3 linked regions of the Mus musculus genome follow. The protein of the gene in region 1 purifies or fractionates together with the protein of each later gene. This does not show direct contact. Links are inferred from orthologs where the notes say so. Each region holds a gene or a part of one and is shown in the gene's direction. Other genes may lie near its edges.

Evidence for each region.
Region 2: the proteins of Nufip2 (region 1) and Lsm12 purify together in Homo sapiens (affinity purification with mass spectrometry; 3 studies listed by BioGRID and IntAct, counting the BioPlex papers as one, with this or other methods). This does not show direct contact. The link is inferred for Mus musculus from reciprocal best matches to the Homo sapiens genes NUFIP2 and LSM12.
Region 3: the proteins of Nufip2 (region 1) and Rela purify together in Homo sapiens (affinity purification with mass spectrometry; 3 studies listed by BioGRID and IntAct, counting the BioPlex papers as one, with this or other methods). This does not show direct contact. The link is inferred for Mus musculus from reciprocal best matches to the Homo sapiens genes NUFIP2 and RELA.

What each region holds. Positions count from the first base shown.
Region 1 is NC_000077.6:77,687,990-77,693,211, forward strand, and holds part of Nufip2 (nuclear fragile X mental retardation-interacting protein 2), read left to right. Parts: intron 1-297; exon of another isoform or gene 298-342; intron 343-3,552; coding exon 3,553-5,222. UniProt on the Homo sapiens protein: Binds RNA.
Region 2 is NC_000077.6:102,164,641-102,168,996, reverse strand, and holds part of Lsm12 (protein LSM12 homolog), read left to right. Parts: intron 1-1,800; coding exon 1,801-1,910; intron 1,911-3,510; coding exon 3,511-3,637; intron 3,638-4,356. UniProt on the Homo sapiens protein: Nicotinic acid adenine dinucleotide phosphate (NAADP) binding protein. Confers NAADP sensitivity to the two pore channel complex (TPCs) by acting as TPC accessory protein necessary for NAADP-evoked Ca(2+) release.
Region 3 is NC_000085.6:5,639,801-5,645,022, forward strand, and holds part of Rela (transcription factor p65), read left to right. Parts: intron 1-58; coding exon 59-150; intron 151-502; coding exon 503-634; intron 635-1,380; coding exon 1,381-1,485; intron 1,486-1,663; coding exon 1,664-1,876; intron 1,877-5,222. UniProt on the Homo sapiens protein: NF-kappa-B is a pleiotropic transcription factor present in almost all cell types and is the endpoint of a series of signal transduction events that are initiated by a vast array of stimuli related to many biological processes such as inflammation, immunity, differentiation, cell growth, tumorigenesis and apoptosis.

The sequences.
Region 1 (5,222 bases):
GTGGGAGGGATTAATCCGATGCTCTAATGGGTGGGACAACACGGGCAGTTTTGGCTTTCCTGTTTCTTTAACTATGAACTGGAAGTGACTTGTCCATGTGGTTGTCACCAGCCCTTTACCTTGGACAAGACCTTTTTGGTGGTTAAGAGGCGTTTTGGTGCATTTTAAAACCGACTTCCATCCCCTAACTGAGTATTATTTAACATTAAATGTGGAGCCTTGAGCTACTTAAAATAAGCATCAAAGTTTATATATTCACACGTTTTGTTTTGTTTTGTTTTGTTTTTAACTGAAAAGGGAATGAAGAAAGAAGTGTTAAACTTAGTCTTTCAAGTAATACAAGTAAGTTACTGGTGAAAAACTTACTGTAGACAATATAACTTTGAAGGCAGAGCTGAGTGGATATCAGATTTTCTTTTGTAGGGTAGTAGGGACTGATGATAGAGCAGAAGTGTTTAATTGTAAGGATTTACAGCAGCCTAGAAACTTAGGAATTATGTAACTGTATTAGTTTTGCTTTTCATGAGGTGAGAAAGTATCAAGGTTGCCCAGTGGTATTGTTCACAGATTCAGAATTTGTCTTTTATGAGGTTTATGTATTCCCCACAGGGCTCCTCACTGCATAGAAAGGCAGACCCTGAACCATTCATTGAAGGTGGCCCTCCTCACAATGTGTCTTAACCTGGGATGAAGAATGAGGAGGGAACTGGGTTTAGGAAATTTAGAGGTTATTAACAGTTGGGCTCAGCGGCTTTCCCGTATGTGGTTTGGTCGTTGGGTACTGTGCTAAAAAATCTAGAAAATGCTAGGGAAATACTTAACAAGTTTTTATGAACCATTACTTCCAAAGCTATGAGAAACTGGTTTTCTGGATCCAGAAGAGGGCACAGGAGACAAAACATGTTGAGTAATTGCAGTGTCAAATCTAAAAGCTAGATTTATTTGGGACTCAAGTTTTGCTGAGTCCATTTGAAGTGGAGTTCTCATGGCACCCTAAATAATAAAGACACAGGGATTCTTTAATTGCTTTCTGTAATAACTACCATCTTCACATTTTTCTTAAATATCTAAGCTTTAAAAGGTACTTATCATACTTAGTGCATGTCAAGGCCATAGGGAGACAAATATGTAGTTAAGTGAATTTTTGTTTGTTTGTTTGTTTGTTTTCTTAATTTTCAGAGACAGGGCTTCTGTATAGCCCTGGCTGTCCTGGAACTCACTCTGTAGACCAGGCTGGCCTCGAACTCAGAAATCCACCTGCTTCTGCCTCACCTAAGTGCTGGGATTAAAGGCATGTGCCACCACACCCGGCTTGCCCACCTTTTAATATATATATATGTATGTATATATATATATATATATATATATATATATACACATATATATATATATAATTATGATTAATGAGCCAGAAGATACAGGTATTGCTTAACTTATAGTAGATGGTAAAGTAGTTCTTTCCTTGGTTGCCTTTGGTCCAGGCAAATCTATTGATTTGGGTCTCCCTGCCCCTAATTTTTGTTTTTGTTTGAGACAAAATTTCAGGGATACATATCTAGACTTGGCTTAACATTTTGCATTTTTTAAAAGAAAATGTTATAGAAAACAAAACCACATACTATTTTTGTCAGTTTTTAGAAAAATGGTAATGTAATGCTGGGAATATGGAATTAATTTTTTCCTAACTACTAAGGGTTGAGAATTGAACTTGATACATGGCAGTATGTTTGTTTCTGATGCAGGGCAGTGGCTGCACACATCTTTAATTCCAGTATTGGGAGGCAGAGGCAGGCAAAACTCAGTGAGTTCCAGGGTGGCTAGGGGTACACAGAAATCCTATGTCAAACAAACAAAAAATATTGTCTATAGTTGGTTTTTGTGCAACTGTGTTCTTTTCTGGAAGTTCATACAGAAGAAAAGTATTTGTTGTTTGATTATTGTTAGAATTGAGGGTTTCCCAAAGGTCTTTTGAGGTCATAAAACAATTGATAAAACTAATTGCTATTTTATTAGTGAGTAGAAAGCTGTGATTTAACCAGTAAATCACTTTTTAAAAAAGATTTATTTATTTATTCTATGTAAGAACACTGTAGTTGTCTTCTGACAACTCCAAAAGAGGGAGTCAGATCTCATTACAGATGGTTGTGAGCCACCATGTGTTTTCTGGGATTTGAACTCAGGACTTTTGGAAGAGCAGTCAGTGCTCTTAACCGCTGAGCCATCTCTCCAGCCCCCCAGTAAATCACTTCTAATAAGAGATAATTAATTGTAAGCTGATCAGTGGTGGCACACGCCTTTAATCCCAGCACTTGGGAGGCAGAAGCAGGAGGATCTCTGAGCTCAGTGATTTTGCATTCCAGCACAGTCAGGGCTACACAGAAAAACATGATTTTCTTAAAAACAAAACAAAACAAATGTTAGTTGTAAAAAGAAGTCTATGTTCAAGTACTTGACTGCTTTAGGATACTAAATTCATTTCATTGTAGTTTTGTGAGCATGAAAGTGTTGGAAGCAGGTAGGAAATTATGTGTCCTAGACAGATTCCTAGTTCTGTTACTCTGTGACCTGGATGTTAACATTTTCTCTCCTGGTGCTTTAACAACCAAGTAGAAGCTAAAAGTAAGAGAATGAGTCTTTTTTTTTTTTTTTTTTTTCCCCAAGACAGGGTTTCTCTGTGTAGCCCTGGCTGTCCTGGAACTCACTCTGTAGCCCAGGCTGGCTTTGAACTCAGAAATCCACCTGCTTCTGACTCCCAAGTGCTGGGATTAAAGGCGTGCATAAAGAGGCCTGGCTGAGAATGAGTCTTAAGGGTTACTACATATTTTTGTTTCATGTTTTATGGTATGCTGGGTTTTTTGTTTGTTTGTTTGTTTTTAAGGTTTCTGTATTATATGTAAGTACACTGTAGCTATCTTTAGTCATCCCAGAAGAGGAAAAGTCCACAGGTCTTATGGCTTTGTCTGAAATTCATTGGCAACTAGTCACTTTTAGCCCTCAGTATACTCTTTGGGGGTACAGGGAGGTTCAGTACTAGGGATTGAGTTCAGTGGTCATACAAGGGAGACAAAGGCCACAGCCTTATTTTTATTTTCCTTTTACAGGTTATTGTATCTGAAGTAGCACTGATTCTAAATAGTGTGTGAGACAGGGTTCCACCCTGTAGCTCAGGAAGGCTTCAATCATGCAATAATCATCTTGCTTCAGTTTTTCTAGCAGACTCATTGATATAATTCATAAGGTTTATTCTGTTTAGATAATTTAGAGGAGATTATGGCATGCTGCTTGAAAGGTCCTGATCTTTCTAGTTAATTCTGGCTACTGGCCCAGAAGATGGACCTGATATGAGTTGTGTCCTAGGTCTGCCTCTGCCTAGACATTGAACCCTGTATCATAATCTGTAAAAGTTTCTTTACATAAAGTTTCTTTACATAAAGATAAGATACAACAAACCCTACAATACAGCTTAGTATTGGGTTCAGTAAAGTTGTTTGGTCTTAGTACTACTGTGATTTAAATGTATGTGTTTTGTTTGTTTTTGTTTTCCTTCTATAGGCTATGGTGAAATAAACGGTAATGCTGGAGAAAGAGAAATATCTTTAAAGAGCCTCAGTTCTGATGAAGCTACCAACCCTATTTCCAGGGTCCTTAATGGCAACCAGCAAGTTGTAGAAACAAGCCTGAAGCAGACTGTAAAGACCAGCACCTTTGGAAAAGCAGGAATCAAAACCAAGAATTTTATTCAGAAAAACAGTATGGACAAAAAGAATGGGAAGTCTTATGAAAACAAATCTGGAGAGACCCAGGCTGTAGATAAGACCGATACCATAGCAATTCCAAATGGTGTTATAACAAGTAGTTCAGGCTATATTACTAATGGTTATATGAGCAAAGGAGCAGATAATGATGGTAGTGGATCTGAGAGTGGATATACCACTCCTAAAAAAAGGAAAGCTAGGCGCAATAGTGCCAAGGGTTGTGAAAACCTTAATTTAGTGCAGGACAAAATAATGCAAGAGACTAGTGTCCCAGCATTAAAACAGGGACTTGAAACTTTAAAGCCTGACTATAGTGAACAAAAGGGAATGCGAGTAGATGGTTCAAAGCCTATTTGGAAATATGAAACTGGACCTGGAGGAACAAGTCGTGGAAAACCTGCTATGGGTGACGTGCTTCGTAAAAGCTCTGATATTAAACCTGGTTTGAGTAGCAAAAAATTTGATGATCGGCCTAAAGGAAAGCATGCCTCAGCTGCTGCCTCCAAAGAGGACTCATGGACCTTGTTTAAGCCACCCCCAGTTTTTCCAGTGGACAATAGCAGTGCAAAAATAGTTCCTAAAATAAGTTATGCAAGCAAAGTTAAGGAAAACCTCAACAAAACTGTACAGAACTCCTCCGTGTCACCATCTTCATCTTCATCATCATCATCTACTGGGGAAACTCAGACCCAGTCTTCAAGTCGGTTATCCCAGGTCCCGATGTCAGCTCTGAAATCTGTTACTTCTGCCAGTTTTTCTAATGGGCCTGTTTTAGCAGGAACTGATGGAAGTGTGTACCCATCTGGGGGTCAGCCACTGCTAACGACTGCTGCTAATACTTTAACACCCATCTCTACTGGGACTGATTCTGTTCTTCAGGACATGAGTCTGGCTTCAGCAGCCGTTGAACAAATTAAATCTAGCCTTTTTATCTACCCTTCAAATATGCAAACAGTGCTGTTAAGTGCACAAGTAGATCTGCCCTCTCAGACAGATCAGCAAAACCTGGGGGATATCTTCCAGAATCAATGGGGTTTATCATTTATAAATGAGCCCAGTGCTGGCCCAGAGACTGTTATTGGAAAGTCATCAGATCATAAAGTGATGGAAGTGACATTTCAAGGAGAATATCCTGCCACTTTGGTTTCACAGGGTGCTGAAATAATTCCCTCAGGAACTGAGCATCCTGTGTTTCCCAAGGCTTATGAGCTGGAAAAACGGACTAGTCCTCAAGTTCTGGGTCACATTCTAAAACCTGGGACTACTGAGAGTGGAGCCTTATCCTTGGACCCCAGTCATATAGGTGACCTGCAAAAAGCAGACACCAGTAGTCAAGGTGCTTTAGTGTTTCTCTCAAAGGACTACGAAATAGAAAATCAAAATCCCCTGGCCTCTCCTACGAACACTTTGTTAGGCTCCGCCAAAGAACAGAGATACCAGAGAGGCCTAGAAAGGAATGATAGCTGG
Region 2 (4,356 bases), about 24 Mb from region 1:
ATGAGAGTTAAAGGCCTTTTCACATTGCCAGGAAACGCAGGTAAACTGCTGGCTGAAGGTGACAGGCTCTGCAGTAAGTGGAGGGCTCGGCAGCCTAATTGCAGGTATTGCATCATAGAGTAGTTGAGTCCATTGTCCAGGAGGCGAAGCATAGCTCAGGGAAGGAGCTGTGGCCCTCAGGGGCTCAGGAAGGGGCCACTGCCCTCTGGTTTATTCTCCTTTCCTTGGAGACTTCATTTTCTGAGACATTGTTTGAAAAGTGAGACTCAAGGAAACCCCTCGTGGTTTGTTACCAGGGTTTTCTTGGTTCCTGAAAAGCCGTTGATTGTTGCTTAAAATACACACCAGCAGTTCTCTTTCCATAGAAACTCTGTTTCCAAGCTCCAGGCTTTCTCACTTCAGTTGGAATTGACTTGCTCAGAGTACATTGATTCCTCTGTGAAGTTGTAGTCTGATGGGTCAGAACAGCAGCCAAGCCTGAAAATTAATTACTACACTGCTTCATATTTGTATCTGTCTATATCTGGAGACCAGGTGATCTCTGGCTTCAAATCACAGGAGAGGTTTGTCATGTTTCTGCTTTTACCTGGAGAGGCTAAAAATGAGAGCATGTGTGAGCGAGCCCTCTGTGATGACATAAGTGTTTACCGTTACTGTGTGTACGTGGTGTGCTGCAGCTTTCTTACGTTTATATTGTACGTATGGGCTGTGTTGATGACTGAAGCATCTGTAGATCACGCTCCTGGCTTTCAGGTGCATTATTTGCTGTTTTTCTTTTGTTGTTGGTTTGGTTTTTGTTTTGTGGTTTTTTTGAGACAGGGTTTCTCTAGTCCTGGCTGACCTGGAACTTGCTCTGTAGACCAGGCTGGTCTCAAACTCAGAGATCCACCTGCCTCTGCCTCCTGAGTACTGGGATTAAAGGTGTGCGCCACCACGCCTGGCTGTGCCTGTTTTTCTTAACTGCCTTGTATAACACGTTTGTTTTGTCTTACACTGAAAGTTTTTCTAGCAAGTAATAGTGTAAGGTGGGACAATATAGGTTGACAGGGTACCCACCCTTGCCAGAAGGAGTCTGACATTTTAGTAGACTACCAGATTTTACTAGAATTTCCTTTGTTCAGTTTGAGATTGATCCACCGGGGGTAGTGAAGCAGCAGGCACAAGGTAGAATTCACACCATTCTTTTTTGTGCAGAGCAGAATGGGGCATAGCTGCCCCCAGCTCAGGTGAAAGTGGGTTAGGGTTGCTCAGTCCCGGGCTATTAGATGAGCATATGGTGCTGGAGAAGCTGAGCGTTGATTGCCAAGAGCTGGGTCTCAGCTCTTGTCTGTTAAAGTGCACATTGGTTTCTAAACCTGAGTTTAGCGGAGTAGTGGGTGACCTGTACTCTCTCTTCTTTAAGTAGAAGTGTGTGATAGTATTTCTCCATGGCTATCACTTCCCAGAGCCACCCCGACCCTATCACACTGCATGTCCCCATGCTCATTTTCCTGTTCTTTTTCACTGGAGTTGCCTTGTGTTTTCACGCTCTCTTTGGGATGAATCTCTAACGTAGCACAGTACATGTTTGGCACATAGGAAGCCCCCCCCCCCCCGGGAAGAATAGAAAAGAGGGGTGATGGCCAGGAACTGCATGCAGTAACTAGATGCTGTATTCGTTGGGGGGGGGGGGTGTTGTTTGTTTCATTGGCTCTCTAGTCATGCTGACTCTAGACCAATCTTTGCTGACCTGCTTCCTCTGACTTGGAAAGAATGAAGGAAAACACTTTTCTGAGTCTTTTTTTCTCTCCCTCACCCTAGCTTGCCAGCAAAGCACGGACGGAGAAGGAGGAGAAGCTGAGCCAGGCCTATGCAATCAGCGCTGGTGTCTCCCTGGAGGGCCAACAGCTCTTCCAGACCATTCACAAGACGTGAGTTGGGGGAGCATGGGTTCCTATTTCTAGAGCTGATACTGTCAGGTTGGCTGTTGGACAAAAGGCTTCTGGGTGGTTGTCTTGCTGAAAGTGTACCAGGGCAGCGAGGGTAGCTGTTGGCAGCTTATTGGCATCCAGAGATGTGGTGCTTGGAGCTCCCTTTGCACAGAATACTGTGATCCTAAATCAGTCATTGCAATCTTTCTGTTTGTGAAAACGTATTTGGGATTGCATTATTTTGTAAGGCTCTCTGGTAATAGTAATCCATAATTTAGAGCTCACGATTAGCTTCTTGTTGTTGTTACTGCCATCCTTGCCTCTAAGATAGCTTGTGGTTTTATTAAGGGAAGTTCTATCACTTTCCCTACTTTGCCTTGGGACAAACACAGGGAGTTGGGAAGAACAGAAGGCAACCGTCTTACCTCCTTCTAAAACACATGTTGTCACAGCAGAAGTCATTGACTCTCTACTAGCTTCCTACGTGCTGAAAAGCTGGAACATTTGACACCCTCCTCAACCCCCCTTCCCCCACACACTGCCTTCTGTTACCCTGTTTAACCACCCAGGGTCTGATGCACAGATGGCAGCTGGCTGTAAAACTGTCTGGGGCCGGGTGTATCTGAGCATTTCCAGGTATGTGAAGGAATTCTCACAGTAGCATCAGCTGCCCTGGGATTCCCCATGTGTGAACTCAAATGGATCTTCCTGGTCTGGCAGGTGTTTACCTATGGTAATTGAGTGGGGCCAGTTGGAGTGCAGCTTACATGGCTGAGGGCAGAGGCTGGGTGGAAGCAAAGTACAGATCATTATTTCTAGAAGTGCTATTTTTTTCCCTAGGTCAAGGGTGAACAGATTATGCCGGCAAGACAGATCTGCCCCTTGTATATGTGTCATCTGTTGGCAGGTTTCTGTAGCTGCTTGTGACCTGACACCATCTAGAAAGCAGTTGGCAGCCTCTGCTCTAGACCTTTAAGTTGTCGGTTCTAGTGGGTTAGGTCTGGTTGTTCATTTGTAACTTGGTTTGAGCTTCTGAGACTGCCACCAGCCACCAAATGTTTTATGATTCTCCAGGCCCTGGTGCTTCACACTATCGGTTCTGGCCTCTCCCTAAGATAATGTGCATTAGTGATGTTGCTGTCCTGTCCACAGATGCCTGGGGAATGTTTGTTGTCTCCTCTGCTCTGGCTCAGTAGTGAGCTGAGAACTTGGGGTCAGCCTACTAGTCTAGTGGTATTGTTTCCTCCTCCCCCTCCTCCTCCTCTTCTTCCTCCTCCTCTTCTTCTTCTCCTTTTTTTTCGAGACAGGGTTTCTCTGTGTAGCCTACCCTGTAGACCAGGCTGGCCTCAAACTCAGAAATCTACCCATCTCTGACTTTCTCTTCTTTTCTAGACAGGGTTTCTCTGTGTAGCCCTGGCTGAACTAGAACTTTGTCTGTAGCCTGGTCTAGCTTTAAATTCATGTCCACCTGCTTCTGCCTCCCAAGTGCTGGGATTAAAGTTGTGGGCCACAGCGCCTGCCTCTGAAGTTAGTTCTTCATTAGATGAACTAATGGGGTGTCCCCAGGATGTCACAATTACCTGCGTTCTTCTCCTTTCAGCATTAAAGACTGTAAATGGCAAGAAAAAAACATTGTAGTCATGGAAGAAGTTGTTATTACACCCCCATATCAAGTGGAAAATTGTAAAGGCAAAGAGGGGAGTGCACTGAGCCATGTACGCAAAATAGTAAGTAAAGCAGCCGTGGAGTTTGGGTGGGTGTGTGTGGGTGTGTGTGTATCCCTTGGCCTTGGTCCTCCCTTGTCAGAGCAGGACACTGTGCTCCTGCAGTCGTGATGTCTCCTAGCAGTGCTGCTTGATGCCCCTGCTCACTAGGCTCTGCAGCTATGTCTTGGAAATTTGGGAGTAGAAACCTTGGTGGTATGGGATAGGATGAGCAGTCAGCCCTGTGTCTTACACCACATAATTGCAGAATTACAGCACATTTAATAATATAGGCTCTGAACCAGGTGGTTTCTTAACTGTAGGTCAAGAACCGTAGGTTCTGCTTTAGAGTGTAACAGTTGTAGAAAACCAACTTTTAATATCTGATGGTTTAAAGGCCACTGTTACAGCTCTTTGGTAGGTTTTGTTTTATGTTTTTCAGTTTACTTCCTGGGTGTGTTTTGTATATGTATCCATCCAACCACCCACCCGTGCATGGGAGTCTGTACACCGTGTATGTGTCTGCTGCCCAGGGAGGTCAGAAGCGGGCATTGGGATTCTAGGACACTGGAGCTTTAGCTGGCTGTGAGCTATCACTTGGGTGCTGGGAATGGAGTCAGGCCCTCTACAAGAACGAGTGCTCCTAAGCGCCAAGCCCACCTCTCAGGCCTGCACTGTTGTGGATTTAGGAAGTACAGAAGGGCTGATCTTCCTACCCATTAGCTTTTCCTTCTGTATTCATG
Region 3 (5,222 bases), on another chromosome or scaffold:
AGTTGGGAGGCAAGAAGGGGCTCTGCTGGAGACACAAAACTAATACCTGAGGCCTCAGCTTCCAGAACCTGGGGATCCAGTGTGTGAAGAAGCGAGACCTGGAGCAAGCCATTAGCCAGCGAATCCAGACCAACAATAACCCCTTTCACGGTAGGAGCAAGGGGCAAAGACATTGATCTTCGTGTGGTGCAAGTATCTCTGTCACCTTCCCTGGGCCTCTGCCGCTCATCTCCCTCCATGGCCAACCCAGCAGCAGGAGTGGAACCTTGCTGCCAGCTTGGCACACACTCACACTCTGCCGTTGAGAGTCAGGCCTAGAGAGGGCTCCTGGAGAGCCGTGATGGATCTAGGGTCTTCCTCCCCTTAGACTTCTGTTTTACATCTCCTCAAATCACCTTCCTCTTTCCTCAGAGCTCCCTGGCCCGTCCCCCCTCCCCCACCCCCAATGCCTTCCACCACAGTGTTTTGTTTTTTGTTTTTGTTGTTTTTTTGTTTTTGACAGTTCCTATAGAGGAGCAGCGCGGGGACTATGACTTGAATGCAGTGCGCCTCTGCTTCCAGGTGACAGTGCGGGACCCAGCAGGCAGGCCCCTCCTCCTGACCCCTGTCCTCTCACATCCGATTTTTGATAACCGTAAGTGGCCGGCTGCAGTAGGGATGAGGGCGGGCTTGGGAACTGAATGGGGACCGGGTGGGTGAGGCCTGGGAGAAGAGCTCTGGCTTCCTTCAGTCATCCAGCGCCTTCCAGCTGTGCTGCAGGGGGTGGGGTGGAGAAGACCCAGAGCTGCCCTGTGACTGAAGCGGCCAGGATGCCCAGGAGCCTGGTGGGAAGTGACTGCTTCCCATATCTGGGGTTGGGAAGCTGGTCTGCCAAGAACTGTGCTCAGGACTTTAGGAAACAAGCTCTCAGAGACCAGATCCTTCTAGACAGCAGGAATTCAGCTGTAGCAGCTCCCAGGAAGCTCTCAGATGACCTGGCTGACTTTGATGGATTGCAGTCTTTAGCAGCAGGGTAAATTAAAGGAAAACCAAAGGGCTTCAGAGTCCTAAGAACCGGAAGCCAGGACTAACTGGAAGTGAGGCGGGATGAACCGAAAGCTGAAACTGTGCCGCTAAGGTGGAGGGCGGCAGGTGTGGTCAGAGTGTGTCCTCTGGACTGGAGGATCTCTGGAGAACAGGGACATCCGGCCTTCAGTGTCCCTTCACCTAGAGCCATGCTACCCGTACTGCAGAGAGACTGATCGGGAATTGCCTGACATAGAGAGCAGACAGCAGCGGTCTGCAGAAGTGTGGTCAGCAGGCTGTGGCCTGGACGTGGCGGGCTGGGCGTGGCGGGCGTTAGAGCTCCTGCAGGGTACCCTGAGACCGCTGATGTTTCAGGGGCCCCCAACACTGCCGAGCTCAAGATCTGCCGAGTAAACCGGAACTCTGGGAGCTGCCTCGGTGGGGATGAGATCTTCTTGCTGTGCGACAAGGTGCAGAAAGGTACACACTGGACTCTGCACGGAGAGGGGAGGGGTGAGGCTGAGCGGAGGTGATGAGTGCCAGCTACCTCAGCGGCTTCAGGGAAAGCAGGTGATGTCACAGGGAAAAACATCAGGTGTTGAGGACAACAACCAGTTGGGTCACACATACTAACCCATACTGCCACTGTCTCCTGCAGAAGACATTGAGGTGTATTTCACGGGACCAGGCTGGGAGGCACGAGGCTCCTTTTCTCAAGCTGATGTGCATCGGCAAGTGGCCATTGTGTTCCGGACTCCTCCGTACGCCGACCCCAGCCTCCAGGCTCCTGTTCGAGTCTCCATGCAGCTACGGCGGCCTTCTGATCGCGAGCTCAGTGAGCCCATGGAGTTCCAGTACTTGCCAGACACAGGTGTGACAGCCGCCGCTGCGGAGGGAGGGCAGGGCCACAGCCGCTGCTGCAGAGGGCGGGACCAAAGCCGCTGAGCCCCAGCTAGGAGAGAGACCAGGGCTGGGTGTCTGAGGCCAGCACTAGGGTTTAGATATGCTGTAGTTCATAGCGTGTAATGATTTCTGTCAAAGGCAAGCCACATGGTGGTCCCATCAGACTACACTGTCTAATGACAAAGGTGTCTCAGTGTGTGTAAGTACCCTTAAGACATTTGTGTAATAAGCTGGGTGCTCCAGCAGCATGTCCAACCTGAGAACTGGTGGCATGGTGGCTCTATCAAGGTGTTCCGGAAGCTGGCCATGGTGACTGGCCCTTAGGCCCAGCACTCAGGAGGCAGAGGCAGGCAAATCTCTCTGAGTTTGAGACCAGCCTGGTCTACAGAACAAGTTCTTGGCAAGCCAGGGCTACATAGTGAGATCTTGTCTCAAATAAATACATAAGTAGATGGATGGTTGGATAGATGAGAGAGAGAGAGAGGGAGGGAGAGAGAGAGAGAGAGAGAGAGGGAGAGAGAGAGAGAGAGAGATAAGGTAGTTGGAGCTGGAGTGGTGGCAGAGTAGTTAAGAGCACTTGCTGTTTTTCCCAGCACCCACATGGTGGCTCACAACCATCTCTAAGTCTTATTTCCAGGGCGTCTGACACTTCTGAACTCTACAGGCACCAGGCATGCACGTTTTGCACATACACACAAGCAGGTACAACAGTCATACACAAAAATAAGCCTTGAAAAACAATCAGGTGAAGAGTGGTCGAGCTTTGCCCTCAGCATGCTCATGAGCACATCTACACATGCATGCACCTCCATGAACACACACACACCACACACGTGTACACACACACTATAATAAGAGATGTTCATACAATGACAGATTTGCTAAACAACATGTCTTAGGATGTGTCCCCGTTGTTAACATTTAGTTACAGTCAGAATCTGCTTCTTATTTAACAGTGACACCCACCGTGCTCAGCTCTGTCGGCTAGATCTGCCCAGAGTGAGCACAAGCGAACGACTTGACTTTAATCTCTCAGCACTTTTCATGGGAAGACTTAACTCACCAGCAGTTCGAGGCAGTGGTACATCTGAGCCAGGGTCACTTGGCTCTATGGACTTTTTGCCACCTTCTGTCTCTTGTCACTACCATATGACCCAGCTTCATTTTGCTCAAGGCTTAGTGCACCACTAAAGCCTGTCCCGGGTGCTGTACATAAGAAATCAAGTGAGGCAGGAGCCGGAGGGATGGTTAAGAACACTGGCGACACTTCCAGTGGACCTAGGTTTAATTTTCAGCACCTACATGGCATCTGGTAACCTTGTATAACTCCAGTCTCAGGGCTTCCATGCACAAGGTGCACAGACATGCTGACAAAACACCATACACATAAGCAAAGAAATATTTGTTTGTTTGTTTGTTTGTTTAATGATTTACTTATGTATGTGAGTACAATGTCACTGTCTTCAGATACACCCAAAGAGGGCATCACTACAGATCCCATTACACATGGTTGTGAGCCACCATGTGGGTGTTGAGAATTGAACTCAGGACCTCTGGAAGAGCAGCCAGTGTTCTTAACCACTGAGCCATCTCTGCAATCCTGTTTTTTTGTTTTAATGAGACAGATTCCTTCCTCTTCACCAGCTCAGTGAGGAGACAGATGTGTAAATGATGTGCCAAGTGAGAAAACAATGGTGCAGAAAGCCGGCCGAGGTGGCGTTTACCTGGGAGGATCCACAAGTGTAGTTTTCATTCTAGTGGCCTAGTCCTGGAAGGACAGAGTTGTTGGGGAATACACAGCTGGCTCAGGGACATCGTGGTGGAAACTGTCTTCAGACAGTGAGCAAGCCCAAAAGATGGCCCTGTTAAGCTTAGTCATATCTGAGGTTTCATTCTGAAAGCAGCAGGGATGCATCTAAGATTTCTTTCTTTCTTTTTTTTTTAAAGATTTATTTATTTATTTATTATATGTAAGTGCACTGTAGCTGTCTTCAGACACTCCAGAAGAGGGCGTCAGATCTCGTTATGGATGGTTTTGAGCCACCATGTGGTTGCTGGGATTTGAACTCAGTACCTTTGGAAGAGCAGTCAGTGCTCTTACCCGCTGAGCCATCTCACCAGCCCACATCTAAGATTTCTAAGCAGAGATTTGACGTGAGCATATCTGGAAGCTCAGCCTGGCTTCTCTGAGTAGAGTGTTAGAGATGGAGAGGGGCAGGGGCGTAGCTTAACGAGGGCTTGCCTAGCATGTACGAGGCCTTGAATTCAGTCCCTAGTAACCCTCAAACCAGGTGTGGTGCTGACACTTGTAACCCAGCACTGGGGAGGTGAAGACAGGAGGATCGGAAGTTGAGGGCTAGTCTCAGCTACATAGGAAGTTTGATGCTCTCCAAGGCTACATGAGATCTTGTCTCAAAAAAGACAGAGTTGTCAAGCTGAGGACCTCTGTTTAACCCACGTGATCAAAGGAGACAGTTCAGAGTGTGACAGTTCAATGTGTGACTCTCACACATTGTCTCTGACCTCTTGTTGCAACACACATGCACACATGAATGTTTTGGGGGCTTTGGGGTTTTTTGTTGTTTGTTTGTTTTGTTTTTCGAGACAGGATTTGTCTGTGCAGCCCTGGCTGTCGTAGACCTCACTTTGTATGCCAGGCTGGTCTTGAACTCAGAGATGCACCTGCCTCTGCCTCCTAAAAGGCATATACCACCACTGTTTGGCCACACACGCACATAAATGTAATAAATTAGGGTGTTTTTTTTTTCCTGTGGGGGTGGGGTGGGGGAATTGAGACTTCAACAGCCAAAAGGAATCCTGGCACTTTTGTTGTTTTTTGTTTTGTTTTTGAGACAAGGTTTCTCTGGATCCTGGTACTTTTTAAGGTCCCCTTTTGATGACTAAATCTCTGTGTGCTTACTCATCTCCAGTTGCTAGTAGGTGCTTGGCAAGTGGTGTTGAGTTAGTATTGGAGGATTGAAAGAAAAAATGATGTTCAGAATTGTTCCAGGTTGCAGTTTGGGTGCCAGGACAGACAGGGAGACACAGGGGAAAGAAGCAGTGCCCTGGTGTGAAATACTGCTTCACCTAGACGGTGTGCAGCTGAGGTGGTCAAATAATTCTGAAGCTTCAAACTAAAGGAAGAAGCCATACACTGAGCTGAGTCTGGAGCCTTCGGCCTGTGATGCTCTGCCCACAGCACTTCCCTCTCCACCTACGTGGATGCTTCTGTGAGCAGCTCAGATGGCGTGCTAGGCTCTTGTCCCCCAGAGCAGGGGTCAAGACAACCAACAAGGCTGGCTGTGTGGCCCACA